Oryzias latipes: one gene and its partner. The protein of the gene in region 1 binds, or shares a complex with, the protein of each later gene. Links are inferred from orthologs where the notes say so. Each region holds a gene or a part of one and is shown in the gene's direction. Other genes may lie near its edges.

Region 1 (15,908 bases):
AACTAATGTTGAGAAAAACCAAAAAGTTCTTGCCATAAAATATTTTCAATTTCAATTAGAGTGGTTTTCTTTTATTTTCAACTGTGATACTATATGTGTGACAAAATGAAAAAGAAAAACATAGGAAGTTCCCATAAACACCCTAAAAAATTACTGAAAAATTAGGAATTTAAAACAAAAAAAAACCTAAAACATAATAAAATGATACTAGAAAGTTGGTCTCTGGTCCACCCATTCCTGGGACATGTGAGACTTCCCTGGTGAAAGCACAGACTCCTTGACACGCGGCATATTAAAATTCATGTAAACAGTTTTGCTCGGGTAAAAATCACCCGCCAATAGTGCTCTAGGGTTAAATAAGCCTATAAAATCTTCTGCGACTGATTTTCTCACAAACAATATATTTTTTTAAATAACTACACTGCAGTTTTTAGAATTCTTTCTTTCTACTTACTTTACTTGCCCTAAAACTAAAAAACCTCTTTGTTGATGGCTCAAGGTCTGAACAAAAAAACTCAACAGCACCAACCCCAATTTCTACACAGGTATCAGACAGAAGTGAAGAGAATACAGAAACTAGTTTAATTTATTTTTATGTAGCTACAGTGTGCAAGCAATGTAAATAAATAACCTGCAAACATGCCAAAGTCCATTTTCCAGTTGTTGCTAGCATCTGGTAATTTCCTTATATTTTTGTTGCCATTTTTGATTTTTTTTCTGAGGAAAAAAGCCAAAATCATAAACTCACATTATTTAGAGGTCACAACAGTTTGCTAAGATATAAGAGCCTTCCATCTCACCTGGAGCAGATCCTTCCTTTTCTTTCGTCACCATCTATGCCATTGAATAAAAATCTCTTTCAGCTTGAGCGATGAGCTCGTTGGGATCCTCCTCTTCATCCTCTTCCTCAGAAGGTTTTTCTATTTGACTCAAAGGACCTTGCTGTTTTTCTCCGTTTTCAATCAGCTGCAGACAAAGACAACATTGTCTAAATCAGTGCACAGAGTTTGTAGGCTAAACTCCACATCATCCTAATTTACCTCTAAAATTACAAGTAAAGGATGAACTGCACTGTAAAATTAAAAAAAATTAAAAAGGTTCGTGTTTTATTTTAACCTCTTAAGATCTGGTGTCCACATGCATGGGCATCACATTTCAGGTTATATTACCACAGAACTTAATTCTCCTTAAATGGGGTCCTTTGACTATGTATGCAGAGGGTTATGTCAAATATTAGCTCAAAAAACTAATATAAAACTTGTTTTTGTTTTTATCTTAGTTAAGTTTTATCACATCATGCATATATTTTGAGTCAGAATGTGTTCTTACAGCAGTGACTAAACTGATCTCATTGTTTCGTGGGGTCAACAGTCCAGGCCAAACCTTCAACAGCATCACTTCCCCGTTAGTAGAGCCACAAGTCATCAGAGGCCCCTTATCAGGAACAGAAATGCTGCACAGAACACTGTTACACACCTGAGGACAGCAACACAGCACTATTAAAATGAATATTCATGCCAGCGTATCAGTAGGGATTCAAAGTCATTGGACCCATCAGACTTTTTTGACTTTGCAGCTGGGATCAGACCTTGACACTCAGTGCGGAGCTAGTCTGTTTGAACAAGATGTCCCAGATGTCCAGCACGCCATCCATATTTAGAGTAAAAAAGACGGAGGGTCTGAATGGACTCCAGCAAGCACCGGTTAAGTTTTGCATTCCATTCCTGAAATCCAACATCAAATGAAGTAAAGCACATTTCATCCTTTGTTTTTCTTAACATTAGTTACAGTTACTTAACATTAAACAAAAAAGTATTTACATTAAAACACATTTTTTTCTGCTTTTTCTGCATTCTTCGTGCTATATGATATCCAGTTGGTTCAGTAGCTGAAGGTATTGTACATAATAATAGTTTTTATCCAATCATATTCCAGCTTATTTGTGATGTTAGGTTCTATGCAATCTGGCCATGACATGGCCTTTTGATTTCACAAAACAGCAAGGCAAGCGTTTGCATTAATTCATCAGATCTAGATGACTTTGAGCTAGCAGGAAGGCTTTAATCCATATGTCTATGCTTTACATTAAGCGTGATATGAACACGTCCTGTGATTGGACAGAGAAGTCTCTGTCTTGATTTATTTCTTTTTTTGCAAACATCTGAATAAGTGTAGCATAGCTTTTTGCTCTGGGCTGTTCTTCTTTACTTGCTGCTCTGTTTACCGCAAAACAAAAGTAATGGCAAGCAAGATGGAGAGACACAGCTATTAGCGTTAGCCTCTGATGTCAACAAAAAATAACCAGATGATAGAAGGGAAATAGAAAAGACAATTTACATGTGAATTAGACAAGAAAATAGGATGGATCTTATTTTCAAATGAATAAGATGCTGTGGAGGAGATGATGGTGTTGGTGGATACAAATATTTGACTTTTGCTTTTGTTGGTGTGCCGCTCTTTTTCAGGTAATTTTTTCAGTTTTCCACAAATGGCATCCATCACACTCATCTCAACAATAGCTATCAATTTACACGGATTTATTTGAAACTCAAGGTTATTGTCCTCAGCTAAAGCTGTGGGTCAGAATCCTACCTGAATGCCATGATTGGGGACCTGGTAATGATGTCAGACCAGAGGCAAGCATGCTTGTCCCCTGCAGTCAGGAAGTTCCCGGGAAAGAAGGGGTTCTTCTGCACAGCATACACAGGTCCTTTGTTGGTTTTGTAAATACTAACAATCTTTTCTGCTGGAGTCTTTCCGTTCTTGTCACACGAGATGACCAAGCCATGCTGTGTCCCCAACATGATCTTTGTGTTCTTAGGAAACAGAATGAACAAAACTGCGTTCAGGCTGGAGATATAGCAAAAAAAAAAAAAAAATAGCAGCAGAAAAGCAACACTTTACCAGTGTCTGCACTGTAAAGGTCACACCCTCACCATGATGTGGTTTAGCCCGAGAGAAATTGCTCCTACGGGGCAGGTCCTCTCCCCACCCAGGTCCAGAATCAAACGCTCTGTGGGCTCACTCATCTTCCGGATGTCCCACCACAAAACCTGAAAGAGTTGAGGTTTATTGCTTTAGTAAGAAAGTCCTTCAACAGTTTTCCAGAATAACACGTTGTCAGTCAAAATTGGTTTGTCAAGAATTGACCTGTCCATCAGTGGAAGTGGAGATTGCCTCTTTTTTGCCCTTGAGTTGAAGCCAGCTCACTTTGCTGACTGGATCTTTGTGACTGTGATCCTCAGGAGAAGAACCCACAGGCCAACAGCTTTCCCGAGTATCCCAGTAAACTAAAACAAATAAACTTGCAGCTGAAATGGTTTCATTACAAACCTCATCAGTCTATCCCTGAACCCACCAATTCTCCCATTGTAGCAGCCTCCCACAAGACAGGCGGGGTCATTTGGGTTGTACTCCAGACAGAGAAGTGAGGACGATGGTTTTAGCACCATCAGTGGTGAACTGGATTTTTCTGAAAGATAAAGCATCCACCACTGAGCAAAACGGATTGTGAATTGGTTTCAATAAGCCAGAGGTTTGACCCACCAATGTCCCAGACATAGGAGTCTTTGCACATTTCGGACAACAGTGGGAACTTGTTAGAAGCAAAAGCAGCAGCAAATTTCATAGGTTCAGAAGTACTCCAAGACAAACCTCTCGCAGCACGCTGCAAATGGGTAGGATCACTGCAGGAACCAAAAGAGCAGACTGTGATTAGTCATTACAAGCAATCGGTGTGCTGATGATCTGCTGTCAGTCATACCTGAACACAGTCATGGTTTTGGTAAGAGGTGGCTCATGACTTTCATTCATATCTTCCTCATCCTCAAAGTATTTCTCATAGATTTCTACGGCATTATTCTGCCTAAAGCTGTGCTCTGTGATCTGAATAACATAATATAAAGTGTGTGATGTTAGTTCAGGTTTCAAAACTGTAGAAAAATTTGGAAAGACATTAATATATTGACAGATTTAAGAAACACAATTAAATGAGGAGTATATACAAAAATCTTACACTGCCCAGTTGAGTGATACTGTTTATGTAGCTGTCTTCTCTTTCCTTCCTCTTTCTAAAACGACTGGTGTGTTCCAAATTTTGAAGATCAATTTCTTTGGGCCATCCGCCCTCCACATGGTTTATTCCACAGGATCTTAATTCAGTCTGATCTGTGTTAACCTGTAAATAACAAGAGGTGCCAGTGTTTCATTAAAATTCTGCTCCAACAGGCAGGTTTTTAGCTCATCTCAGAACATTTTACAAAACTCAGTTTGTGAAGGACCAAACCTTATTTATTTACTGTCTTTAACAAGAAGAAGATGATTTAAAAGGAACAAAAAGTTATTTAGATTTTATACATAAAATTGTATCTGTATACCTGGTTTTAAATGTTTGAACAAAACATTTTCAAATTATTTGGATAAGTAGATTGAAAATGCTAATCATGGTAACATATGGCTATCTCTTGGCTTACTTTATCCAGAAATAAGTTACTCAGAACTAATAATCTACATTAAGATCTAAAAACGGTCTAGTAAATATTTGAGTGAACAAAACAAATCTCTTAAAAGTTTTCCCTGTCAATGTGCTAATGTGGAAGCAGCCATAGACATTTTCAGGTTAACTCACCTGTTGCTCTGAGATTTCCGGGCAGGTCTGCTCTGTCGGCTCATTGTGATTGATGGACATTGTTGCACCGTTTTTCCTCTCTTTGGATCAGTCTCTAAAGCCTTCAGTAAAGCTGAACCGATGTAGTGTGTCAACTGGTGAACTGGTAAGTCATACAACAGACACGGTCTCTTAGCAACAGAAGACCTTTGCTAGTGTGTCCACCCTGTCAAAGTTCTAAGTTAACCAAACATTCTTTAATATTTCAAATTGTCTTTTTTTTTATTTGACTTCTTGAGACCTGCCGTCCAGATCTGAGGACATCACATTGTGGGTTTTATTACCAGTGTAGTTAACTCTGATTACCTGGGCCCTGGGGTGACTACAAAATATAAAAGGCATATCAAACAAGAGCTTGGGTCTCAAGAGGTTAAACAGGATTTTGGTGAAACTACCAAAAGGTCCTTTGTTAAAAGGACAAATAACTATCCTACAATTGGGTTGTTCAAGTGTTTTTCCTTTTTTTGTGCTGCCAGCTACTTTTCAAAGCTGTTGGGTTTTGATGCACTTTTTGATATCTTCAATGTGTTTAATTAAGCTGATGTAAGGTGAATCCCCCAAAACTTTAAAAAAGCTTTTTCTCCCTATGGACCAACAGCTGCCCTTCTGGACACCATCTTCAAGGATTTGACCTTCTGAGTCATGTAATCTGAAGGTCATGGGGTAACATTTTCAGCTGGAAGGTCATAACAGCTTTAAATTATTTTGATGCACTTACTCAAACTTACCGTTAGAGGGAAGTATTTACCTAATTTCTAGGAGCAAAATAACATGAATACATTAAATCTGCAGAGTGGACAGAGTTCACTCCCACATTTTCTTCTTGATGTATCTGTGCACAACCAGAAAACTGATAATGTAGTTTTGATACTAACAAATAACAGGGAGAAAAAGACATCTTCCTATGAAAAGAGTTTCATGTACAATTGTAGTAGAAATAAAATTAAGACAAATTACTTCTGTATATAAACAAGAATCATTTATTGTTCTGTTAGCAACTTTAATAAGCATAACTCAATTATTTCTTCATTTTCTTTGACAAAAATACTCACGTTGAAATTTTAAAATTACAAATAAACACAGGGGTAATTAGTTATGATAGGGTTGTGTCTGTCAGCTAAGGATCTTCATCCTGACTGGTGGTAACCGTATCCCTGCTGCTCTCACTTTTGCTGAGATGTCGACACCTAGTGGTGCTCTGAAACACAACATTGTGAGAACACTTTAATCAGTTCATAGAAAAAAACAAAAACGTAACCACTGTCTTTTAAATTGACTCACTTTGGCTCATAACAGACATCCTCACTTGGAGACAGAATTCCTCTCCCCTCTTTTAGACGCTCAATACCATTCCTGATTGGGACAAAAGTTTTTTTTTTATCATTTAAACCCCAAGTTCAATTAAGCACCTACAATTTAATTACACTTGATGATTCTTCAAAGCTGATATGCACACACCACGCGATCATCACGCCATTGTCAGTGCAGAATCTGGGTGGAGGACAGAGCAGACGAAGTCCTGTCTTTTCAGTGATAACCGTCAGTGCCTTACAGATGTACTGATTGCTTGCAACTCCTCCAGACACCACCTAGAAAAGAGTAATTATTCAAACAAGTGCACACTAGGGAAGAGCTTACTTTTTGCTATAAGAAAACATTTTTATCAGTCACAAAAAAATGAAAACATTCTGGTACCTATTGACCCAGAACTTTGATCAAAAAAGTATACTGCAGTTACTTTTCTATTAAACAAGAAAGATAATCCAAGTCATGCTTTGGAAACAAAATGATATCCACTCCCCTGTTGTGTCTTAAACATCGTGATATCTCAAAGCCCATTCATTGTACGGAGATAAATGGCATCATTAAAAAAAAGTTTCTGAAAACTACCAGTCCTAGTTATTTTCCTCCTCTAAAACCCAAGAAGGACCTAAAGTTGTTTGTGAATTAAGGCTCTGCATTTTGAAAATAACCAACATGGTAAACTGTGGTGTCCAAATTCTTTATTTCGCATCTGGAACAAACCAGTTTGATTTGGCAATGTTATAGTGAATTTATTTCAGGGATTTGAAGAGATGGTGATTTAAAATTTGACAGCAAATAGGGGCATGCACCCAGTGCACAAAAAAAACTGTATAACCAAAGGAGTAAACAAAAACATCTGTCTTTTAAAAAGGGTTATATCCATATAACAAGTCTTAGCACATTCTTTCAACAGAGAAATTAATACTGTTTTGATACAGCCAACATCGACTAACAATCTTTTGAACCTTAAAGATATCGGATTTTAGCTCTTTTACTGGGTAACATTGTACATGTTGACTTATACACACATGACTACATGTAAATTATATTTTCATAAAATGTTGTAATTTGTACTTACCAAAATAGGATTATCAGATGGCAGAAGGCCATTTTCCTTACAGAACAAGATGGCACGATGAGTCCGTTTTGCAAGATGAACAGCAACTGTGTGTTGTGTGCCAGCTGCAATGTCATTTACGCAAGACAAAAGTGTACCTTGTTCTATTCCTACAATAAAAGATTGACTGTAAGCATCCCATGTAAATTGAGTATAATAAGTATTCAGTAAAACTGTGTTCAACTTTTCTCAAATACCTTCTTCAGCCTCTTTTTTTATGATGGACATTGTGATTTGACTTCGTAGTCCAGCAAAAGAAAAGCAGCAGTCATAAATCCGCCCCATCGGTGTCCTGAAAGGGAATTTCCTCCTGTCACCACTTCTTGCTAAAAGCTCAATCGCTTGTCCTCCACTTAACGTGGAGCAATCTGGATGTTTTGTGAGGGAGAGGCGTCTTGCCACCTGTGAATTTGCAAGACAGATTTTGAAGTGCTTGACTTATATTTACAATACTATAAAAATGTGTCAAAAGCAATGAATCTACTTTATCCAGTGTGTCCCCTGGAGCTTCATCCAACATGTAACCCAACAGCAGGAAGTCGTCAATTCCTCGTGCAACAGCAAGAAGCGAGTGACCACCAGAAACAAGCAGAACCAGGAAAGGAAAGGGCACGGGCTGGAGCATTCTGATAGTCAGGGCATGGGCCTCCATGTGGTGAATGGGAATGAACAGTATGTTGTGCTTCCTTACAAACTTCTGACTGAACGCAAGACCAATGCCCAAGCTCAGGGCCAAGCCTGGCTTTACTGTTGTGGCCACAGCTGACAGTTGGCTTGGGGTCACTCCACTCCTCTCCAGGGCTTCATGGACCACAACCTCTATGCTCTCTCTGTGGAGTTGCTGTGCAACAGTGGGAATAATACCACCAGTCCTGCAAAAGGGGAATATATTTGTCAAAATAAAAATATTTGTTTTTTAAGTTCTTTTCATGTTCCTCACCTCAGATGAACCTCATTTTGTGAGTAAAGAGACTCTCCCAGGATTGTACCAGTTTCGTCCAGTACAGCAGCCCCAGTATCATCACAGCTCGTCTCAATGCCTAAAACAAGTCTGGAGTGGTATGCCTTTCTAGTCAGAGACGTGAAGTCCATTACGCGTCTACAATGAAGCAGCCTCCACAGGTTTTTCACTTTAGCAGGCAACATTATTACTTTTAATTCAAAGATTCCACGTCAAATATTGAAGGCATCAGATGCAAGCGCTAGAGGAATTCAATCATCATGAGATAAAAATAATAACGTAAAAAATGAGAGAAAGATTAAAATCACTTCCATTTGTAAAAGACATTTGAGCATAATTGTTTTTAAAGGAGCGAACACGAGCTCAACTCATTTGCTGTGTTACATGTATTTATGTCCGGCTATGTCAGTGAATCGACACATCACGGCGAGTAGACAGCGACTTTAATCAAATGGAATGATATAATTAATAATTTTAAGAAGGAAAGAACAAATATTTTAATCATATTGTTAAGCTATACATATTCGGAAAGTGGCTTAAAAAATTGAATGTGCTTAAAAAAATGTAAACACGTTCCCGCACGGACACTTTTAACAGTAGCGCATAGTTTTTTGCCCATGGAGTGCATTTGCCAGGTTGTTTGACCACCAGGCGGGTTTTCTTTTTATCGAACAAATTCATGCATACAGAGGTAGGCTTAATACTGTTATTCCTGCTCATAGACAATAACTAAACAATCAAATTGTGTTTATAATTAGTGCTAGAATCCTCATCAACGGAAGTTTATGAGGATTTTCTGTGTGAAAAGCTGTGTTGTCTTCACGATCAGCGGAAATGTCGTATATTCCAACGTCCTGTACTTGTACTTTACAATTTGTTAGTAACTCTAAAAAAAGTTTCAATTTTCGTGTTTGTTGATTTTTCTAATTGATATAACAGTCATTTGGACGATTTTCCTGTTTGGTATTGAACCGCTTTGATTAAACCTAAGAACATACAGTGTATGACATGTTATTCCATTAACTTTCATTTTGCTCCCCCAAATTAGCCTCTTTCCCTGTGTTATTATTATTATTATTATTTTAGAAAAGTAGTTATTTGAATTTTAATCAGGGTTTTATTTGAATTTCCCTGAAGGAGGCATGGAATCTTCTACTTGTAATTTGGAGGAGTTAAAGCGTTTTGTTGTAAAGGATGCACCTCAAACCGTCTATTACATCCCAGATTTCATATCAGAAGACGAGGAGTCCTATCTTCTACAACAGGTCTACAAAGCTCCAAAAACAAAGTGGACCCAACTTTCTGGTAGAAGGCTCCAGAACTGGGGAGGGTTACCTCATCCCAGAGGCATGGTCCCAGAGAAGATCCCTGACTGGCTCCAGGCTTTTTGTGAAAAAATATCTTCATTAGACGCATTTGGTGGGAAAACGGCAAATCATGTGCTGGTCAATGAGTACAAACAAGGGGAAGGCATTATGCCACACGAAGACGGCCCCCTGTACCACCCCACTGTCACAACCATCAGCCTGGGCTCCCACACTCTCCTGGACTTCTACAAACCTGTCAGCTGCATGGAGGGAGAAGCTCCACAGACCGAAGACAACCGCTACCTGCTTTCTCTGCTGGTGATGCCGCGTAGCCTCCTAATCCTACAAGATGAAATGTACCAGCACCTTCTTCACGGCATTCAAGGACAGACTCATGACTTGCTGACAGAGCAGGTGGTGAACCTGTCTTTTACCGGCGCCCTGCCTGGGGAGACATTAACTCGAGGCACCAGAGTGTCCCTCACTATAAGACACGTCCCCAAAGTCATGAAAATGAAGCTCATGCTGGGAAGAAAATAAACAAAACCACATCAAACAGTTTACTACTTTATTTCCAACTGAATTTTCATTTTGAATTGGGAATGCTCTGATGGTGGATGTAGCTTGAAGTGTTTATAGCTGTTTAATCTACACTTAATGTGTGTTTTAAACTAAAATAAATTGTTGTTAAGTAGATTTTTTTACAGTGTTTCATTGAGATATGTCTTAAGGGTTGAAATCAGCTCATTCCAAAATTCAACATGCTTAACAATGTAAATTATGAAAGTGATTTCACATTTTTCAGAGGTTGAATAATCGCCAATAGGAAGTTCTCGGAGTGAAAACATAGAAATCTATTTTCTTTTTAATTTTTTTATATCAGGGCTATTTAATAGTCATAGAAAATATTTGTTATAAATCAAAATATTGTAATAGTAATATAATTAGCAAAATATAAACATTAAATTTTTTGGTACAAAATGCTTACTTTTATGAAAGACGGCAAATCTACTAAAAGAACTTTAGATCTTTCCATAGAATCTATTGGCAGTGTTGACATGTTTGGATCATTAATGTGTAACAGCAGTCAGTATTTGAATGTTTGGTTACCTGCTATGTCGCAACAATGTTATCTTAAAAATTGACTTTGTAAACTTGTACTTTTATTCTGTTGTTTTAGAGATTATTGTTTAATAAAACCTGACAACATAAATGAATAAAATGAAACGTCCAAACATGGCAAATGTGACCAGTTTTTGTCCTTTTTTTAAAATAAATATCTATATTGTAACAGGAGTGGTTCATTTTGCAGGGAAAACATGAACTTTTATTTTTACTTTGCAATTGCATTTTCATTTTAAACAAATAAAAACTGTATTCTCTGTTTGACAGTTCGTACAGAGGAGATTCAATTTCCTGAAGTGATTTATTTTTATGAGTCGTAACTGACTTTGTTTCAAACTTGAAAAAGGAAAAAAAAAACTCATAGGTGTGATTAAAAAGTTTTTTTTTTTTCTTGAATAAAAATGGTTTATGTCTTTCCAACAACTAAAAGTGTTTCTGACCATATGCTCTGTCCTGCAAATGTACTGACAGGAGGACACCCAAATAATGGAGCCACAGACGAAGCGCTGGAAAGGGTCAGGGAGGGACACTGACTCCTGGGATGCTCTTCCTGTACTGTCCGACTTGCAGTCGCAAGACATCGAGCTGATAGAAGCTTTCGCTGCACCCATCACCAACAAGAAAGAGACCTCCCGAATCATCGCGGAGCTGAATAGCCTCTACCCGTTGAATGGCCTTCAGCACCTCAAGAGGGTACGGGCTTGCAAAGACAAGGGCAGCCAAAACCCTCTGGAAGTCCTTCTGTGTCTCGTCAGTGAAGCTCCAGATATAAAGGCAGTCAGCAAAGACTCTCTGCTACCCTCAAGGGGAGCTAAATGGGAAGGCCTGGGCGAGCCTTTTGTGGTTAAAATTCCTGCTCGTCCGCCGTTGACCCGACCTCAGTTTGAACTGGCGAGCCAACATTGGTCCACGGCGTTTCACGAAAACAAACATGTAACTGTAGCTCTGAGAGGTGAGCTCTTCAGTACCAAAGAAAAAGCCAAAATGCACACATACATGACATCTGCTCTAACCGCTGCACAAGCCGCTAAAGAGTTGGGGATGGAGGCTGTTGGGGCGGTCGTGGTTGACCCTGAAGTAGACCGCATCATAGCAGTCGGCCATGACTGCAGACGGGACCACCCCTTACACCACGCTGTCATGGTCTGCATTGACCTCGTGGCTAGGAGTCAGGGTGGCGGAAACTACTGCTTTGACCGTTACACTGCATGCCAGTTCAGTTTCCCAAAAGCTGCCAAAAATCAAGAAATGTCAAATCAGTCGGAAGGGGCAGCTGAACCTTACATCTGTACGGGGTATGACCTTTATGTTACCAGAGAACCTTGTGTCATGTGCGCCATGGCGCTGGTCCACTCGCGGATTGGTCGAGTTTTCTACGGGACCACCTCAGTTGACGGTGCACTCGGGACCCGATTTAAAATCCACACGCAGAGAGATTTGAACCATCACTTTGAAGTCTACAAGGGGATCTTGAGTAAACAATGCGGAGAACTCATCAGTTCAGATGATCACATAGAAGATCTCAAGGAAAAACAGGTTACATGTAAAGAGTAAAGGATTTGTTCGATGTGCCTTAAAAAAGTCTTGTTTTAGATAACAAATTAAATAAAACCTTTTTTGTGAAGTTAGGGGTGAATGTCATGGCAGTGTTATTTCTTATACCAACTGTTTTTTGAGCATTAAGGTAAACATTACCCTTCCATTTTCATATTTTTAAAAGCACACATTCAATCATCTATCTGTAAACACTAGAAATGTAATCAGAACTTATCTGCTGTTTTCTTTAAAAATATTTAAATACATTTGAAACATTTCCATTTTTTCCCCCTTTGATATAAACTCTGCATTCATAACTTAGAAATGAAGAATAAAATGAGCAGGAATGAAACAGAACCTCAGAGGTCACAATTTTTAATAAGATTAACAAGAAATACCACTGTGGCCTAAATGGCTACTCAAAGCAGAGCTAGCTGCCTTGGTTATAGCAAAAAGTCTTAATCTAGCAAGGGCATCAACAGGCCTAAGATTAACATGTAGACACTGCAGACCACCCCTAAGTAAACAATTAACGTCACACTGTTTTCTTCTACACACAAGACATAAATCCACAAAAACCGAAACAACTTTCCACACAGTTGCAAATAAATGTTTCACTTGTCAAAAGAATCATGCCAATAAGGAGGATGATAATATTCCTGACTGAGCTAAACATTTGGCACCCATTACCTAATGAGCCACAGGCTCATACCGTTACAAAGTAAACATCTTTGAAAAATACATTGGAACATCCGAGTGACTACAATTCACAATTTTGTGTCACTGTGTGAACAAATGATAGAGGAAAAGAAATTAAACTAAAGTCCTCACCAAGACCTAGGCCAGCCCAGGTCTAGGCAGGCCAAAAAAAAAAAAAACTTCATTAAATATTCACATAAGTTAGTAATGCTTCTGGCATTCTGTCAAATACAAAGTACTCCTGTGTTTTCTTTAACCCTGAAGTATCTGGCTGTCCTTACAGAGTAATCAGCGGTACAGATGACAGGAATGAGCTTCTACTGCTGAGAGGCGCAGCACTTAAAATACGTTAATACTTATTGATGCCAAAAATTCTCACTCCGTGCAGCTGTGGCAGCTTCGGGATCAAGACACTTAAAAGTGAGGCAGTGTTGATTACAAAGTGCGTTGTGTCGTACTTTGTGTAGAAACTTGCAAGGAAGTATCTAGGGAGGGAATAGAAAAAAGACAGATCAGTTGAAAAACAAATTGCTTAAATATATAAAACAGTCGTGAGAAAAATGCTAATATCGTTTTAAATTGACTCCAGAACATTTCCAATCTTGCATACAGTCATGATGGGATCTCAATACTCACAGAATGATTGGTGAAATGGTGAAAAACTTTCTAGATGAGGTGAACTGCACACCATAATCAAGCTGCTCCCAATGAGTTAGAAGCCTGGCTTTCCCTTGGTCAGGAGTCTCAAAAGGTGTACCTTTCACAGCATGCATAAAGACATACATTCCCTGGAAAGACAACAGTTGAAATACAAACACGAGTAAATATTATTCATAGACTGCTTAAATGAGTCGGTTATTATTTATGTTGCTGCTTTCTAACAACACATTTTTACAGTACAAAGCAGAAGTTTGACACTTATATGCAAAGAGAATTTTGAATGATACATTTCATCGGCTTTTGTTTCTTTGCACAGAAACAGTTCCACCCTGGTGTAGTCTTAAATTAATAACACATGCAAGACCTAAAAAGATAAACTAGGGTTTACTATCAAACTCAAAATATGAGAAATCATGTTAAAATACAACAAGTGCAATTCATGTATTTCAAACCAGATTGAAATTCTAGATTGCAAATGGAATAAAGTTTATATGATTGATCTATTACTAGACTGTGATGGAGGGTGTTTGACTATCCTTGACCTTCGCTCTTGCTGATAACACCCCAACATATTGGTAGTGACACACAATCGCAGTAAACCACACTTACAGTAGTGAGTGAATGTCTCATTTTAAAACCAGATGTGTGACAAATGAAGATCATTTACATTTGCAATGTGCAGCACAGACAGACAGACAGACAGGAGCAAGTAGTGCACTTACAAAATTGTGTATTACGTTGGTTAAAGTCCACACTACAGGAACACTGAAGAAGGGTATGCTCAAGAGCACAATGTGAAGAACTCCAACTCCCAGCGCATAGGTCAGCCAGATCCCCCGGCTGTTCATTACTCGAGTATTGGGGTTCACCTCACTATGAGCCACACCCACATTCATTCTGGTCTGTGGAAACAAAGACACATTTGGTCGATGAAGATTCTCGTTCATCTGGACTTACTGTCTTCCTCTTTTTGAAGCGTTTGAAGCCACAAAATGTTGAAAATGTTTTAAGAAGAAGATAATTCCAGAGTCCATGACTCTCAACTTTAAAACATTTACATTTTGTCAATCGGCTGATACTACTATTTAAGATGAATAATAAATATAATATATACAAATATGTTTTGATGCAGATATGTTTTGCATCAGTTTTTTGATGTATCTACATCAAAAAACTGATGCAAAACATATTTTCATACATTTCATTTAACTTAAAGTTAATTGAAATAAATTTGCATCTAAATATGATTGAGATTGTTTAAAATAAAACTTCAAGCAACAATAATAATATTTTTATTTAGACAATATATTATTAACATATCAGACATATTGATAAGTTGTAGAAAATGTCTAAATTGTAAATGTTTTTCTTTTTTCACAGGTTAAAGGTATTCCAGCAAACTGCAGCTGTGGCACTTTTCATTACAGACGAGTCTGAATATTAGCACCTTGCGTAATCTTGCTGGACTTTGTCTTCTGGCAAACTTTCAAATGCAAGTCTGGATTTGACACAAACACCAAAAGCTTAAGTTGCAGTCATTTACAGCTAAGCGGTTAACATTTAACAGCTTCAAATAACTTGCATCTCCTATTAATTTCATACTAAACATGTTAAACCTATTGTTTTCTGTGATCAGAATAGACTTTTTGACATTTATTTCCCCAAACAAAAAGGTCTGTGGCTACATCAAAGATTTTATATTGCGCTAAAAGGACACTGGTTTGTTTATTTGGTCAGAGGACCAACAAGCCCCTACAATTTCTGTAAACAAGGACCTTTATGGAATTGAAGATGCACAATAACTATATACCAAATAAACTATATGCGTGTGAAAAAGCTAAACCATAAAATCTATCTTTAAACGGCAAACCCATACTTCTGAATGTTAACACAATCAGACAATGGACTGGTCTATTTTCTGACTTTTGGACTTCAGCAAAATGCAACGCTTCATAATTAATTTGTGTACCACTTACACTGAGTAAAGCATTTTATGGGTATAGTGTCAACCACTAGAATTTTTTCTGATGGCGATCTTGTCTTAAAACCGAATGCATCTTCCCTTTAACCCAGAACATAGTCAGGCCCAAACCTTACAACTAAAAAAACAACAAGGCAGCGTGATTACGTAAATTTAAAAAGCCTACGCTGTTACTTTAAACTGTTAAATTAAATAACTACAAGAGGTATAAGATGGACTTACAGATAGCAACGAGCAATGACAGTGTTCTTTTATGAAATACTACAAAGAAAACTTGTTTTTTTCTCGTGTTGTACTCAGATCCTCCTAGATGCTGTTTTCAGCGGATGTAGACGTTTATCCAATATTTTGACGTCGTTGTGCGTTTACTGCCTCAGTTTGATTTGTCAGGCTTGGTCCCCGCCCACCTTTCACACAAAGAAGTGTATTTAAAATTTTCCCCAAAAATTTGGATACCAGAGAATTTTGATTCCAAACCTTTAAATGAAAGGGGTTATAGGCCGTGACTGTGTGCTAGAATAATTGTTGCAGATATTTCAAAGGTGTAAAAA
Region 2 (15,758 bases), on another chromosome or scaffold:
CAATTTACACTCAGATGAGACGTTTTTTTTTTTTTTTTTTTTTTTTTCAAGTCATTTCAATTTCAAAATCATTACAGTCATCTTGTTCTCCCTTTAATAACAAGTTGTATTCTTGACTCAGAAGAACACTTTGTACTCCACCATTCACTGCTCTGGAAATCATAGATTGAATACAAGGAAAAATGCACATAGTGAACACACAACATATGATCAGTACCATAAGAATAGGTGTCACTATTTTTAACAAAGTTGCTACCAGGAACCAAAAGCAAACCAGGAGAAGAAATCCCAAGATTGGGGTTTCCTGTCATCCTGCATTGCCTGTTGAACCTATTCAAGTTGATGTAATGCTTCAGTGATGCTGTGACCTTCATCTGTGTTGTCAGGAATAAATGTACAACAGGTATCATTTAATATTTTACAAACACATCCCTCCTGAGCAACCAATAAGTCCAAAACCAATCTGTTCTGTAGAACCTTAAGTCTCATGCTTGACATTTCTTCATTATAGACTTTAAATGCTTTAATTCAGCGTTCAAAAATAAACCTAATCAATAATCAATGGTCTCAATTCTGAGAGCGTTTTTAGCATTTCCCACTCAGGGAAACAATGCCATAGTTACCTTTTGCCCCGTATTCCAGAGTTTATGGTCTCCAGGTACATCTGATCCCCAAATGGAATCATGTGGCTTGACATCAATAAGGTTACGTCTGTGGCGCAGGTGAGGCTCATGGACTGCAGAAACTATGAAAGTGTGATCTGTGACCTTTACGGGAGCACAAATCCCACTCCAGTCTCTAGGCAGACTGAGGTAGAGGGCCTGCCCACATAACCAAAACATTTGATCAACCACATAAGTACCATTGTTACCTGGAATTAAATCTGGATTAGATCCAACACAACGTCCTCTGGGGCAGGGAACTGCATAACCATGGGAAACTCTGTCATTGATTATCTGGACTGTGAAGGGAACAAGAAGTTCATGACACATCTTCGTCGGCAAAGTTCCTAAAAACTCTGTGCCATTGTTAGTTACGCAATGTGGAAACACAGTTCCTGGTTCCACACTAGCATATGGAGCTAATGATTTTGTCAATTTCAGTTTTTTAAACTGATACAAACTCTTACAACTCGGTCTTACAAGAGTTCCATTTGAAGTGGTGACGGCTCCAGTACTAATATACCCTCTGGTACTATATTCAATAACACAGTCGCTTTTCCACTCAGAAAATTGCTTTGCCTGCAAATTAGGATGTAGGGATGAAGCTTCAATTACAGAACAAACATAGCAATCCGATCTATTCTTTAGTCAGTCAGTAACATAACATACCTATACCAAGAATTTGTCATATACAGGTGAGTTATGTTCATTTTTGGACTATTCAAAACATCATGTTCATCAATACTCAGCCATCGTCGAGAAATGTTTCTTTCCTCACTGGTGGTTCTTCTTGCGGGTGGATAATGATTCCAAAAGAACCAAATCCATGTGGTGGCTCCTGTCAGGAATAGCAGGAACAGTAAACAAAATAAACTGTCTCTTAGCCCAGTTGGACACGCCATGGTGGATATGTACCTATCTTCGGGAGGGAGAGGTTACTAGCACATCACCTCCTCAAGTCCTCTAACAGTGTAGGATCCGTGTAGTGCAAAAGAGTTCTGGTGTGCTTTCTTCCCTAAGACTAGGTGGATGTCTCGGCTTCGCTGACGTTGAGACAAGCAGCTTCTATACAGCTGCCTCCCTTTGTAGTCAGACTTCCCCACCTAGCAGTTGGAATTAGCCTCACCCAGATGCTTTTTCTTGCAGTGTGACAGGTGGATCCAAGACGTCCTTTCAGCAATCTTTACAGCTGTTGGTGTAGTCAGCAGGACTTGGAATGGCCCTTCCCCCCGTGGGCTGGACCAACACTTCCTTTTTATGGCCTCCACAAACACCCAGTCACCAACCTGCACTGGTGAAGTGTCCTGTGGAGATAAGAAGGAATCTGGCACTTGATTTGTCCTTTGTACATCTTTAGTGGTAAACATTTTTCTCAAATAATCCACTAAATTTGCATCATCATCTGGAGAATGTTGCTGTGTAGGATCAATGTCTGGTAACCTATAAGAACGTCCATACAACATTTCAAAAGGCGTTAAAGGTTGACCTGCTGTGCGTGTGATACGCATGCTTAGCTGAACTAAGTCTATGCAGTCAGGCCACTGTCTGTTTGTCTCTTCCATGCATTTCTTTAACTTTGATTTGATAGTGCCATTAGTTCTCTTAACTAATCCTGCACTCTGTGGGTGATAACTACAATGTCTCTTTAAATCAATACAAAGATGTTGAGCCATTTTGTCTATCACTTGATTTACAAAATCTGTACCATTATCACTTCTTATCACTTGTGGTATGCCAAAAGTTGGGATTATTCTTTTACAAATAGCTTTAGCTACTGTAATAGCATCTTGTGTTGCACATGGAAAAATTTCAACCCATTTGGAAAATGCATCAATAATCACTAAACAATATTTCAATCCTTTACTTTTATTCAATTCAATAAAATCCATATGGATTGTATGGAAAGGAAAAGGTGGTTCAGGAAATTTTCCTCTCTTAGGTCTAACATTGCCTTGGGGATTATGATGCATACATGTAACACATTGTTTACAAAAAAATTTTTTTATAGAGTTTATAGAGCATAAATCCACAAGTTGTTTAATATTTCTCTAATAAGTTCATCCTCCCCCCTGTTGAGACATGGCAAAGCCCATGACTCAAAATTGCTGCCCATTTGTACATGGATTTTGGTAAAATAGGTTTCCCTTCTGTGCTGACATAAAGACCTTGTTCAACTTTGCTCCTTTTTCAACCATAAATCTTTTTCTTGTTTCGGTGCACTGTGTTGCATTTCCTTTAAAACATCAGTGGTTGCATCTGCAGTCACATCCTCATTTGTGCATATTTCTACATCTTTTGTTGCAGCTTGCTTTGCTGTTGCATCTGCAAAGGCATTTCCTTTAGAAATATGATCTGTTTTTTTTTGTGTGTGTCCCTCACATTTACATATTGCCACTTTAGATGGTAACATTACAGCAGTTAATAATTCTTTCAGTAAGTCTACATGTGTTACTGGTTTTCCTGTTGATGTTTTAAACCCTCTGTTCTTCCATCTAATGACCACTGGTGGGCATCCTGTAATTAACCCTACATCTGCTGGCTCTTTAGTCCAAAGTGACTGTGGAAGGTCTTTAAGAGAATCTTCCTCTTCCTCTGTCAACATAATTTTCACTCAGCTACTTCTGTCAGTCAGATGCACATTAGCCTGTGTAATCACTACCCAGTTTAATGCAATCCTTTTAAACTAAGTTTCAGGATTGGTAGAAATTCCAGTTTCCGGATCAGTCTGCCAGTCCAAAGTATAGGTCACTTCCTGCACATGTTCTTTCATTTCTTCCCATTTTTCTCGTGAACCTTTAGAACAAGAAATAAATGGAACTGCATCTGCCATTTGTTTCCAACTTGTCACTCTTTCTGTACACATTAAGTTTTTTGCTTCTGGTGTAACTGTCACAGTACAGAAACTAGTTTCATCTTTCCAATAAAAATCATTTATTGTACATTTTTGAAATCCTAGTTTACTCACTGCTTCGTCATATCTCCTGTCAGGACCAGGAGACTTTTTGCATCTTAACATGACATACAGAATGTCTGAAGACATAAAATCTGCATGGGGTGACACTCTGGCTTTTGCTTTCTCCATTAAGTTTTTTGCAGTCTGTCCAAGATCAGTTTTAGGTAGATCTAAAATCCAATAATAGTGTGGTTCACCTCTGCCTTCTAGCACACAGATGTCTGTATCGGGGCAACGTCGTGCTTGCATCCCCCCTTCTCTGGTGGGGTAAATTCCTAACTTTAATCTTATCATGACATCTCTCCCTAAAAGATTAAAAGGACAGTTTGGTGCTAAAACCACAGGAATGCTTGTTGTTTCATTAGTGTCAGGATTTTCAAAACAAACTGGTTTACTCTAATGTTTAGTTTCAATTTGACCATCTGCAGATCTCATTTGTATTGTTTTATTTGACTTAGGAAAATCATTGTAATAACTTCTTATCACAGTTCTACAAGCCCCTGAATCACAAAGAAAAACAAACGATTGTCCCTGAACATAAAGAGTTATTTCTGGCTTTTCCATAAGACAAACTTCAGTGAGATCTAAAAATTCATCACAAATTCGTTGAATTTCTGGTTCAGATTCATTGTTAATCTTGACATTACTTCTACCATCTAGTCAATCTGATTTCTTCCTTTCAGGACAATCTCTCTCCCAATGATCTCTCTGTCCACAAATCCAACATCCATCATCAACCTGCTCTGACCCTCTGTTGCTACTTCCTCTAGACCTTCTTCTAAAATTTTCTTTAAAATTTCCTTTTCCACGACCACAATTTCTCCCTCTGTTCACATTCCTTCCAAAAAACACATCACTACTTTCTTCCTGCCAAAATGTATCTACACTTTGATTCCTAAATTTCTTTCTATTCACCATCAATTTTTTCTGCATGAACAGCAAAATTCACAAACTGTTGTAGTGCTCCTGTTGGTAGATCTATGTAAAGTGTCCTTATCTAGTCTGCAATCTCTGGTCTCATAGCTTGCAGTAAAACTTGTTTCAGCTGCTGTCTATAGGGACCATCATCATTATCTCTGAGTCCACAATTAGCTTTAAAACTTCTTCAAATCTGACTCTAAAATCAGACACTAACTCTCCATCTTTTTGTTTAGTTTGACCAATCTTTCCATAATCAGGTCTCATTGGAAAGGCTTCTCTAATTCTTTGTCCTAAAAGTGTAAGACTTTGAATTAACTCTTAGACTGTTATGCGGAAGAGGTCTGGGTGGATTGTCATCATTCATAGGATTCCTTTACTTTTGCCCAGTCTGCTTTCATAGCAGTCATACATGCTTGCTGACATTCAATGCCATTCAGATGGTAAGCTCTCTGAACTTCCATCATTTGCCCGTGAGAGATAACTCCCCTCACTGCCTTCCGTACATCCTCTAATGTCCAGGTGCTAAGCAAAAGAAGTGTAGGCCTCTGGCCATCTTCTCCAGCTCTAGGATTGGACACTTCAATCATTGGGTTCAGATGACTCTCCAGCTTCTTCCAAACCAACCCCCATAGTTTTACTCCATTCAAGTTTTTTTTCCCTTTTCCTCCTAACATTATTTTTCCTTTTTCTGGTTTATTTAAATCAGTCACTGGTGGGTAAAAACCCGTCAACAGAGGAGCATTTGTCCCCTGGTAGGGAGGAGGTGAGAAATCAGCTGGTTTCTGCTCTCCCCCCCTTTCATCCTGCTCCTGCTCGGTCTGCAGCCTGCTGCAGCCTGCTGTTGCAGGGGTCTGAGTCTCACAACTGATTTATCCTCTTCTTTTTTAGGAATCAGACATGCTTCTCTAGTTTTACTTTTCTGAATGCCATTCTTTATTTTTCGTTGCTTCATTTAAGCACAGTTTTGCACAAATTAATTCTTCACCATTTTTTTGTTTCTTTTTTAGTTTTTAATTCTGTTTTTAATTTGTAACCTTTGAACTAATTCAGTACATTCCCCTTAAAATTGTAGTTGAACCTGGATGAACCTCTTTCCATATATTTTTAATCTCATGTCAATTCAACTTTTTTATTTGAATTCCCCCATTTTTTAATTTTTCCAATTTTTTTTTTATTTACGTTAGTCACAGAGTGTGATCAGAACCAACAGAGAATTTCTCTCAGGACCGAATTTCACTCCCCGTGCAACAAGCTTCTAGGTCAGACCTATTGTCTGATCCGGTCACACGTTTAGGGTCCTCCCAGGAGCAAAACCCGTTTTAGACTCTGGGTTCTTTTCACCTAAAGCCTTATGAGATGAAATCTTGTTCTACCCCAACAAGCAGCCTTGTGTTAACACCGCAAGGTTTCCAGCTGCTCACTGCTTCGAACAAGTTCACTCCTTTCACACATGCACATACATTCACACCAAAAAAAAACTTTTTTTATTTTATTTTTGTTGTTATTCTAGGCCTTTTAGGGACTTGAACCCTCTTACGCGTTTTAGGCTGCAGGACTCGAACCTACACCTTTATTTAGAATTCTGGACTTTTCCGGGACTCCAAACCCACACGTGTTTTAGGCAACAGGACTTGAACCTGTCCCTCAGAATTCTGGGCCACTTCGGGGACTCGAACCCCTGAAAAAGCGCTGTACTTGCCTTGTCGTTGTGGTCTGACTGGTTAACGAATAACGTCAATCCGGACCCAGGGATCAGACCAGTCGATTGGCCGGCGTAGAATTCACTACGACGGACTTTCCTCCGGAGACCTAGTCTCACGGGCTGTGCACAGACTTCAATCGGCATGGTCCTCCCCCAAGGACGCAGATATGTTGTCATCCGGCTCGAATGGACCAAAGAATGTCAGATAAATGCATCTAGACATTAAAGAAAAACACAATTATAAACAACAAACCACAACAAGAATCAAGTTTCTCATGCACGAGGGAGAGGAGCAAATGTGTTGGAAAAGGTCCACCACGTTTCTCTTCTCAAAGGTCTGCCCCTCCCTGTGCTGCTTTTATTAAGAACACAAGTGGGAGGTAACAATTCAAGACAAAGACAAAAAGTTCATTAGGGGGTGTCGTACAATGACCCCTTTGGTTGGATTCTAAGTTTAAACAGTATCACTTATCAGCTGAGGACAGTGTGTCGTAAAACCCCCCTGTTCCTGGCTGGGCATGAGAAGCAGATGACCAAACACACAGAACTGTTTTTAGAAGAGGTAAAAAGGTCAATCTGAGTTAACATTTAAAGAAATACATTTAAACAATGATAATAATAAAACAAATTCCTTCACACATTCAGAGCTTAAATCCTTTTATTGATGACATTTGTAACACTTCTACAGGATCATTACTGATCTATGCTCCAGGTTATGATTGCCTTGAAATTTAATTTATGCTGAAAGATTTCTATATTTTATTTATACGTGTTTGTTTGTTACTTTTTTATTTGAGAGCTGTGTCTTGCATCATTGTGTGGTTTTGTCTGCGATAGTTTGTAATGATTATATTTCAATTTTAAAAAACACACACGCGCGCGCGCACACACACACAAACAATGAAAACACGTAATCGGAAACACGGAGGGTCGGTCCGTTCAATATTTTCTTCCCCTGTTCGTTTCCGGTGTGATGGTGTCCATAGTGTGACAAAAAAGTGGAAAACAACCCGAAACAGCACGGCTCGATGGAGAAGTTCGGCTCGATGGAGAAGTTCGGCTCGATGGAGAAGTTCGGCTCGATGGAGAAGTTCGGTCCGAACGATCAGGAGATCGAGAGATGGATGTCTCGCGCGTTTGAAATGGTGAGTGGTCCACGTTACAGCGGGTTTGTGTGTTAATTTATTCCTTAGAACGTAATGACCAGCTTTTCTGTAGGCGAAAGACCCAACAGTGCTTTACCATTATTGCGCTAATAAGTGCATAGGTAAAAAAACGACATTTAAAGACGTTACTTTTAACTCTCATTGGTGCATTTCTTTATGAAACACTTTTTTTCTTGAGTCAAGTTATATGAAAGTAGATGTATTTATTTGAGGACAACATGCTGTCTGAAAATGTCAGTCCTTCTACCCCAGATGTGCACACACGCCTGAGTAAGTCACTGAGGTTTCTGCAGGCCAGAGAAGCTCTGCAGAATGGAGAAGTGGCTGTCGGATGTCTGATGGTCTACAAAGATCAAGCAATTGGGAAAGGAAGGAATGAAGTTAACAAGACTAAGAATGTAGGAATAATTCTAAAGTGTAAACAGGATTTTAACTCGAGGTTTTGTTCTGATGCGGCATTAGTATGAGCAGCTTCTCACGGTTCTCTGGTTTTTCAGGCCACTCGTCACGCTGAGTTGGTCGCTCTGGATGAGCTTCTGGACTGGTGTCGCAATAGCAACCTGGATTTGAGAAGCGTGTGTGAGCACACAGTCCTGTACGTCACGGTGGAACCATGCATCATGTGTGCTGCAGCCCTGCGCCTGCTCAGTATCCTGTCTGCTCCTGTGTGGCTCTCCTCTCGGCCTTGTGGTCCTTAGGGGACATGCATTTCTCCTAAGGAGCATTCTTGTCTGACGTGGATGTAACCTCAGTTTGAAGTGTCATTTCTGAGCCGATTGTCAGACATGGCTTTGGTCGTGTATGGCTGCTGGAATGAGCGGTTTGGAGGCTGTGGCTCTGTTCTGGACATTTCCTCTGCCGACCTGCTGCAGACTGGGACCACATTTAAGGTCAGCATTCACTCCTGATGAATGTGTTTATGTGGAGTAGGCCTGCACAATACATCCCAAATTTATCGTTATCGCAATATCACGCTGTGCAATACGCATATCGCAAAAGATGCCAAAAATTGCAATAAATTGTTACCTGCAAGCTGCCATAAGATCACTAAAAATCTTATGGTAGTTGGAAGTATTTAACAAATCAAATAAATCCATTTATGCATTTGACCAACCAGATGCACGCCTTCATATTATAGACCAATCGGATGGAGCTCTTTTGTTAGATGTTGGCCTCCTATGTAGACTAGGGTTAACTCTTATTTAAACTACCGTATACTGTTTCAGTGAAATGGAAATTAGGTTTTTGGTTGTTTTGCTACTTGTTCATATACCGCAAGTTATATCGTCATCGCAATATTGATGACTAATATGGCATATCTTGAGTTTTCCTCATGTCGTGCAGCCCTGATGTGGAGATGTTTTTGTGTCAGCTTGTGTTTTTGTGTTTAGTGTATTTCAGGCCACAGAGCAGATGAAGCTGTGGAGATTCTGAAAACTTTCTACAAACAGCAGAACCCAAACGGTGGGATATAATTTTCAAAATTGTTCAGTCTGTTTTTCAAGCCTTTTAAACAATTTATTTGTATATTACTGTGACAAATAAGTATTTGATCACTTGGGTACAAATAAATTGTTTAAAAAAAAGCATACAACATGTTTTCTGAATGTTTCTTCAGATTCTGTCTCTCTCTGTGGAAATGCACCTATGATGGAAATTTTAGACCCCTCCATGTTTTCTAAGTGGGAGAACTTTCTAAATCACAGGGTGATCAAATACTTTTTGACCTCACAGTGAGGTCAAAAAGTATTTGATCACTTGATTATCAGATAGATTTCTGACCAGCAAAGACCTGCTGTTCTGCTTTGAAATAGTCCAACTCCACTCTGCTCATGATTCTAAATGAGTGGCACCTGTTTGAGGTGGTTAGCTTGCATAAAGGCACCTGTGCCCCCCCACAATCAGTCAGAAGGCTATCTACCAACATGGGCAACACCAAATATATAAAATATTTTTTTTCAACTCAAATTTACATATTTATCTAAATAAATGTAATTTTAGTCCAATTCTATTAAAGTTTTTCATCTTAATTTATTGTAATTCTTGAACTCATGTCTAAATTTGAGCCTGCAGATATTTTCATTTTTATCACTATAAAATAAATGAAACTAGACAGCTTTCCAATTTGTAACAATACCATTTCTCTGAATTTGTCATTACTCCAATAACCAGTAGAGCTGCTAAATAAACTCATCATCCTCTTCCTCCCTCTCACTCATGGTGCAGAAAGAATTAAACATAACAGGACAAATAACTAGACAATACACAGTAAAACAGCTAAGCAACTAAACACATTTGGTCAAAAACCCACACTTAAACCCAAATCCGTCCAGACAGGCAAAGGGAATGGTATCCCACAATCCTTTGCGTTGCCGATCTAACAGCAGCACCAAAGTTACACCTACTTAATTGAATTAATTTGAATAAAAGTATAATAACTGTCTGATAACTACATGTTATTTTTAAACTGGCTTAATTAAAAATAATTGATTTATCTCAACTGAAGCAAATAATTAAGTTAGATCAAAGTAAAAAAGTTCATCTTTCCAACATCCATATGTGGTCTAATCATCCTAGCATTACCTGTTTTCTGGAATACCCCCCTGAAGGAGAGTAAATGAATATGACTGAGTTTACACAAACGTTTACTCGCCTTGTGGTGACTAACCTAACTTTTTCTGCCCAAAGAGGAGAAAATGCTCGCAACAGACGAGTGTTCATTTCTGACCTTTCAAAATAAGTTTAGTGTAAAGTTCTTTTGTGTTACAATTATTTATCGTTTTATCGCCCAGCCCTATTCCACGCTGGAATTCACTGAGCTGCTGAGAGCGCCTCATTCTTTACTAATCTTTGTAAAAACAGAGCATGACTGAGTGCTGATTTGATACACCTGTGGCCAGGTGATCAGGATACCTGATTCTGATCATTTGGATGGGGGAGAGAATACTTTTGGTAATACAGTGTACAGGAGATGGTTTTGATGCTGCACAGGAATGGACAGTATGTTGCTCATCTTCTTTCTGTCTTTCAGCTCCCAAACCCAAAACAAGGACAGATGCAGCTCTACAGGTGTGATGCAGCTGGATTAGTTGTTTATATTAAAAATACAAAAATAAATAAATGTTTTGTTAAATAAAAATACATTTGTGATGTTTGGAAGCTTTCTATCAGTTGTGAAGATTTGTTTTAAATACAACCACGTGAGCTCTCCGAGTTTCTTTGATGTCATGCAGGAGCAGTACATCTGGTCTCAAAGACAAAGTAAAAGATGAATCACAAAGACTGACTTGTACTGGATGTTATCCTGTTCCAGGGTTCGATTTACACTGAGGGGAAATGAAGACGTACTTACAGCCCTCCAGAAGTTACCTGTTGAACTTATCTGGCTGCAGTTAAGTTTTAAATCAACTTCAAAAATGACAGAAGCTCTTGTTCAATTGTAATAGTTCAAGTCTATAAGTGGAGCATGTTGACTAAAACGTTGAGTGCATTTTGTAAGTAGACATCTCACAACAGGAGTGCTCCTCTTTTTGCAGATAATACAGTTCTCTCCCTCATAAATCAGGGACACATTTCACCCATTTGTAAAACGTAATTGGAAGTATCTGGTTAAAAGCTTTTAATAAATGTTAAAGACCCTGGCAGTTTAAAAATTAGTCCTAAAGCCAAAACCAAAAAACCAGCAGAACGTTCCAATTCAACTATATTAGTATCCATTGTAAAAGTGTTCCCAGTGCTCTTAATTAGGATTATGCCGTTTTTAGCAAAAATCAAAAAACCTAATTTGTTTTTCAAGACATATTTTCTGAAGCGCAGCAGGAGCTCATTAGAAATTCGCCTCTGGGTTGTGGGCGGGACTGTAGGTTTGGAAGTAACCCTACAGTGATATCCCAGCATTCCTTTGTTCACGATCTCGCCTGCTAGCTTACAGCCTCTCACAACCCCAAGCTAATATTAGTGTAGCAAAAATAAAAAATGCGAGCAATTTTGGAGTTTTGAGCCAGAGGGCAGTTCAGAAGACAAATAGGAAGACTTTAATGGATCTACTGTGATTGTTTTTAAGTGGAGGATTCAGAATTGGAGCGGAGCAGGGAGACTTTAAACCTCCCATGGCAGCTGCTGCGTCACAAAGCTGAGCTTTTTCAAACCACGGGTTGTTAACTCCTCCTGATTCTTCACACTTTGAATAAAGAAATACTCAGAAACGCAGTTTCAATCTTAAATATGTCCTCTATCACAGGAAAATGCTACATAAACATCTTAAAAACACAATTTTTTTGGAGTTGGTCTTTAATCGTTAAATGAGCTTAAAAACCTGGAAATTACTTTTGACTGACTGTTCTAAAGTTTTTCCTCAGCACACACCTGATTACATCTTGAGCAGACGGATTCTAAAACAGATCAGTGATTGGAAAGTGATGTCTTGGGAGAGTATAGCCAGACAGCAGATGGTGTGAGGATGACTGTGGTGAGGATGATGAAGAGGACAAGGCCAGAGCAGAGGATCAAGTGGTGGAAGTTGAAAAAGGAAGAGTGTTTTGGGGGTGGGGGTCACGGCTGGGTATTGCAACATGAAAAAGGTTTGACGGGTATGGAGGGTCAAGGTTGTGGATAGATTTCAAATTCAGGGGAAGTATTTTGTACGTAATCCGATGTGTGATGGGCAGCCACTGAAGAAGCCCATCCCTCAATGAAGGGGACCAGTGGACTTTCCTGAACTGAATTTGCCAGAAGTCCATTCATTCAGGAGCTGTCCCATATTGACCCTCAGGATCTCCAGCCTTCTAGCTGCTCCCAGAGTCTAATTCAAACCCATCATGAAGCCTCTTCCTCCACTGTAATGCCTTGGGTCAGTGAGTGAGCCTGATGCTGCAGAGTTTATAAACAGGCTCAAGGCACAACTTTCAGCTCATTATTGACTGATACTATTTTGAACTTAATGTTTTCTATACTACCTTTGGGTATTTTGAATCTGTTTCAAAGACATTTGTTTCAAATACATGTCTATTCTCTGTGGTCTGTCTTCTCACTGTTGCGGTCATGAGGGGAGTGGGTCATCTGAAGGAATTTGCTCCAGTAGATCACTGAGAACTAATCATATGGATTGAAGGAGAGCTGCTGGACTGTTTCAAAGTTCAAACATGAAGATGCTGAAATCTCCACGTTTCCTAACATGGGATAAAGCCTGAAAAACTCACTCCACTCTTGTTCTGGGTTTACACACAGCCCAGCAGAAACACCGACTGCAGCTACAGAGACGGAAGGATGAAGCTCTGTAGGTTTGCAGGGGGGCGGAGAGAGTGAGAGAGAGAGAGAGATGACCTGAAGCCCTGCAGAACCTACACTGAAGGATGAGCCTGGAAAAACCCCTCATACGACTTTTGAAAGTTTGCTGTACGCCTGCTGCATGTTTGTCTGTATGATGCACTTTTGCATTTTCAAAGTCAGGAATAAGTACCCTCTTTTCTGTGCCGTTGTCTACCGTCCACCTGGATCAAATGGTGTGTTTTTACAGGAGTTCAGAGACTTTCTTTCTTCCACTATGAAGCTGTCTAACCTGATAGTTGGTGATTTTAACATGCACATTAATGATGACTCTGACCTATTTGCCAGAGGTTTTATTAGCCTAATGGACTCTTTTAACTTTATTCAGCATGTGTCTGGATCCACACATGTTTAAGGTGGTACACTCGATCTTGTTTTTACCTTGGGTGTGCATGTTGATTTTATCTTTTCTGAGGACATTTTTATTTCTGACCATCATTGCATTTTTTTTTTATTTATCTTTTTCTGTGTCGCTCTTGCCTGTACGCAGAGAAGTCAGCTCTCGCATCCTTAACTCCTCCACAGCTGAGGTCTTTTCTAATGCTTTTAACCTGGTTCTTTCTCCGTGTACCGATGTTAATACTTTATTATGTAACTTTAACCGTTATTGTCTTTCCATCTTGGATGAAGTCTGTCCTGTTAAAACTAGACTGGCTCCTGTCACTAAGGTTTCCCCTTGGATTAACAACAGTATTCGCCGTCTGAAACAATAATGTAGAAAAGTTGAACGTTTATGGAAAAAAACTCACCTAGATGTTCATCTCCTTCATCTTAAGGATCTTTTAGTCTCTTTTAACAATGCTGTTAGAGATGCGAGGGCTGCATATTTCACTAATCTCATTTCCAAAAGCAGAGGTAATCCTAAAGTGCTGTTCAACACTATGAGTGATATTGTTATGCCCAGTTCACCTGCTGTTCCCATCCATTCAAATGATGATTGTGAAAAGTTTTTATCATTTTTTATTGAAAAGGTCAGATCTGTGAGAAGCTCTCTGTGTCACACAGCTGGTCCTGGCTCTGGCTCTATTCCTAGTCCGCCTCGTCCTGTGATTTTAGACACATTCTCACCTGTTTCCCTCCCTGAGCTAGTCAGATTAGTTGGGACAATGAAGTCATCCTCTTGCTCCCTCGACACGTTGCCAACTTCTCTGCTCAAAGATGTCTTCCAGTCCATTGGTCCCTGTGTCGTGTCAATAATGAACTCGTCTCTGCTGTCTGGTCAAGTCCCTGAGCACTTTAAGGAAGCTGTTGTTCTTCCTCTCCTTAAAAAACCTGGGCTTGACCCCTCCCTCTTGAGCAGTTTTAGACCTATTTCTAACCTTCCTTTCATGTCTAAAATTTTAGAAAAGGTTGTTGCCAAACAACTTACAGCTGCTCTCGACAGTCATGGGATATTCGATCAATTTCAGTCAGGTTTTCGCAGAGCTCACTCCACTGAAACAGCCCTTCTCAGAGTCACTAATGACATCCTGATGCAGAGTGATGCAGGAAAATGCTCTGTGTTACTGTTGTTGGACCTGACCGCAGCCTTTGACACTGTGGACCATTACATCCTTTTGGACAGGCTGAAAAACTGGGTTGGGGTCTCCGGATCAGCCTTAAACTGGCTCTCCTCATATTTGACTGGCAGATCTTTCTCTGTTGTTTTCTCCAAGTTTAAGTCCTCCTCTGTTCCGCTCACTTCTGGTGTGCCCCAAGGCTCAGTTTTGGGACCTTTATTGTTTATTTTATATCTGCTGCCTTTACAGCATATTTTAAGTTCTTTTAACGACATGTCTTATCACTTTTATGCTGACGATATTCAGCTTTATGTGTCTTTTAAACCCCAGGATGTTTTTAAAATACAGAGTTTACAAAAGTGTCTGGATTCAGTTAAGAGCTGGATGAATAAATACTTTCTCCAACTCAATGAACCCAAAACTGAGGTCCTAGTTTGTGCTCCTGACAGTTGTCTCCCCCAGATAATCCATGAGCTCGGTCCACTTGCTTCTTTTATCAAGTCCTCTGTCAGGAACCTAGGTGTAACTTTAGACCCGGTTTTATCCCTGAACTCTCATGTCGGGTCACTTGTTCGCTCTTGCTTTTATCATCTTAAAAACATTGCAAAACTGAGTCCAATTGTGTCGCGTTCTGAGATGGAGATGCTCATTCACAGTTTTATATCCTCCCGTCTTGATTATTGCAACTCCATCTTCACATGTTTAAGTAAAAAATCTCTAGAACGGCTCCAGGTTGTCCAGAACGCTGCTGCTAGGCTTTTAACCAAGTCATCCAAGTTCTCACACATCACCCCGTTGTTAATGCAGCTGCACTGGCTCCCCATTCACTACAGAGTGCATTTTAAAATCCTGGTCTTAACATACAGAGCTCTTAATGACCAAGCACCAGTCTACATAAAAGACCTGGTGCAGCCATACACTCCCAGCAGGTCACTGAGGTCATGTGACCAGGGTCTGCTGGCTGTTAAGAGAACCCGATTAAAAACTAAAGGAGACAGAGCCTTTGCCGCAGTGGCCCCATCCCTCTGGAACTCTCTTCCTCTCAGCCTCAGATCTGTGGACTCAGGTTTTTAGCTGCTTTTTAAAAGAAAACACTATCTTTTTAAAATGGCTTTTTCTTAATTTCTTTTTAACATGTGTTTTTACTGTGTTTTACTGTTGTTTTATCGTGTTGTACTGTGAAGCACTTTGTGATTTTTTTCTGGAAAGGTGCTATACAAATAAAGTTTATTATTATTTATTATTATTGTTGCACGACTGCATGTTTACTGCATTTTTCTGTTTTTGCAGCATACAGTGGATCAAAAGTGCATTTGACAGCCACCAATTCTGCAGGTTGTCCAATTTAAAAAGAGGAAAATGTTCATCATAGATACACTTCAACACAGAATGTATAAAAATGTATTGTATACATTTGAAAGTATTTATTTGTATAATAAAGCTGAAAATAAAAGGGTAATATTCTTATCTTACCTTAAAGCCCAAAGCACTTTACAGTCAGATGCACATTCATTCAAACACTTATGCAGC

The links.
Region 2: the proteins of adat3 (region 1) and adat2 are in contact, whole or in part, in a crystal structure (PDB 9HMM), measured with the Mus musculus proteins. The link is inferred for Oryzias latipes from reciprocal best matches to the Homo sapiens genes ADAT3 and ADAT2. Residues at the interface, in NP_001094076.1 of Mus musculus: Val217, Ala218, Pro220, Leu221, His223, Ile229, Asp230, Ala233, Gln236, Gly237, Glu270, Ser272, Pro274, Val276, Val290, Met291, Met294, Ala295, His298, Ala299, Pro311, Asp312, Leu318, Phe319, Val321, Arg324, Asp326, Leu327, Asn328, Pro349; in NP_080024.3 of Mus musculus: Val62, Asn63, Lys66, Asn67, Ala68, Thr69, His71, Met74, Ile77, Leu81, His85, Pro91, Cys107, Ile108, Met109, Ala112, Ala113, Leu116, Met117, Arg130, Phe131, Val137, Leu138, Ile140, Asp144, Leu145, Pro146, Asn147, Thr148.

What each region holds. Positions count from the first base shown.
Region 1 is NC_019879.2:16,546,646-16,562,553, reverse strand, and holds adat3 (probable inactive tRNA-specific adenosine deaminase-like protein 3), read left to right. Parts: upstream 1-8,629; 5' UTR 8,630-8,728; coding exon 8,729-8,740; intron 8,741-10,952; coding exon 10,953-12,035; 3' UTR 12,036-12,109; downstream 12,110-15,908. Other genes in the region: osgepl1 (probable tRNA N6-adenosine threonylcarbamoyltransferase, mitochondrial), read right to left, coding at 5,780-5,864, 5,948-6,019, 6,125-6,255, 7,050-7,198, 7,286-7,490, 7,573-7,960, 8,029-8,234; ormdl1 (ORM1-like protein 1), read right to left, coding at 13,066-13,201, 13,353-13,504, 14,099-14,272.
Region 2 is NC_019882.2:23,450,741-23,466,498, forward strand, and holds adat2 (tRNA-specific adenosine deaminase 2), read left to right. Parts: upstream 1-7,174; 5' UTR 7,175-7,266; coding exon 7,267-7,383; intron 7,384-7,697; coding exon 7,698-7,802; intron 7,803-7,901; coding exon 7,902-8,052; intron 8,053-8,187; coding exon 8,188-8,294; intron 8,295-8,795; coding exon 8,796-8,868; intron 8,869-10,435; coding exon 10,436-10,479; 3' UTR 10,480-10,568; downstream 10,569-15,758. UniProt on the Homo sapiens protein: Probably participates in deamination of adenosine-34 to inosine in many tRNAs.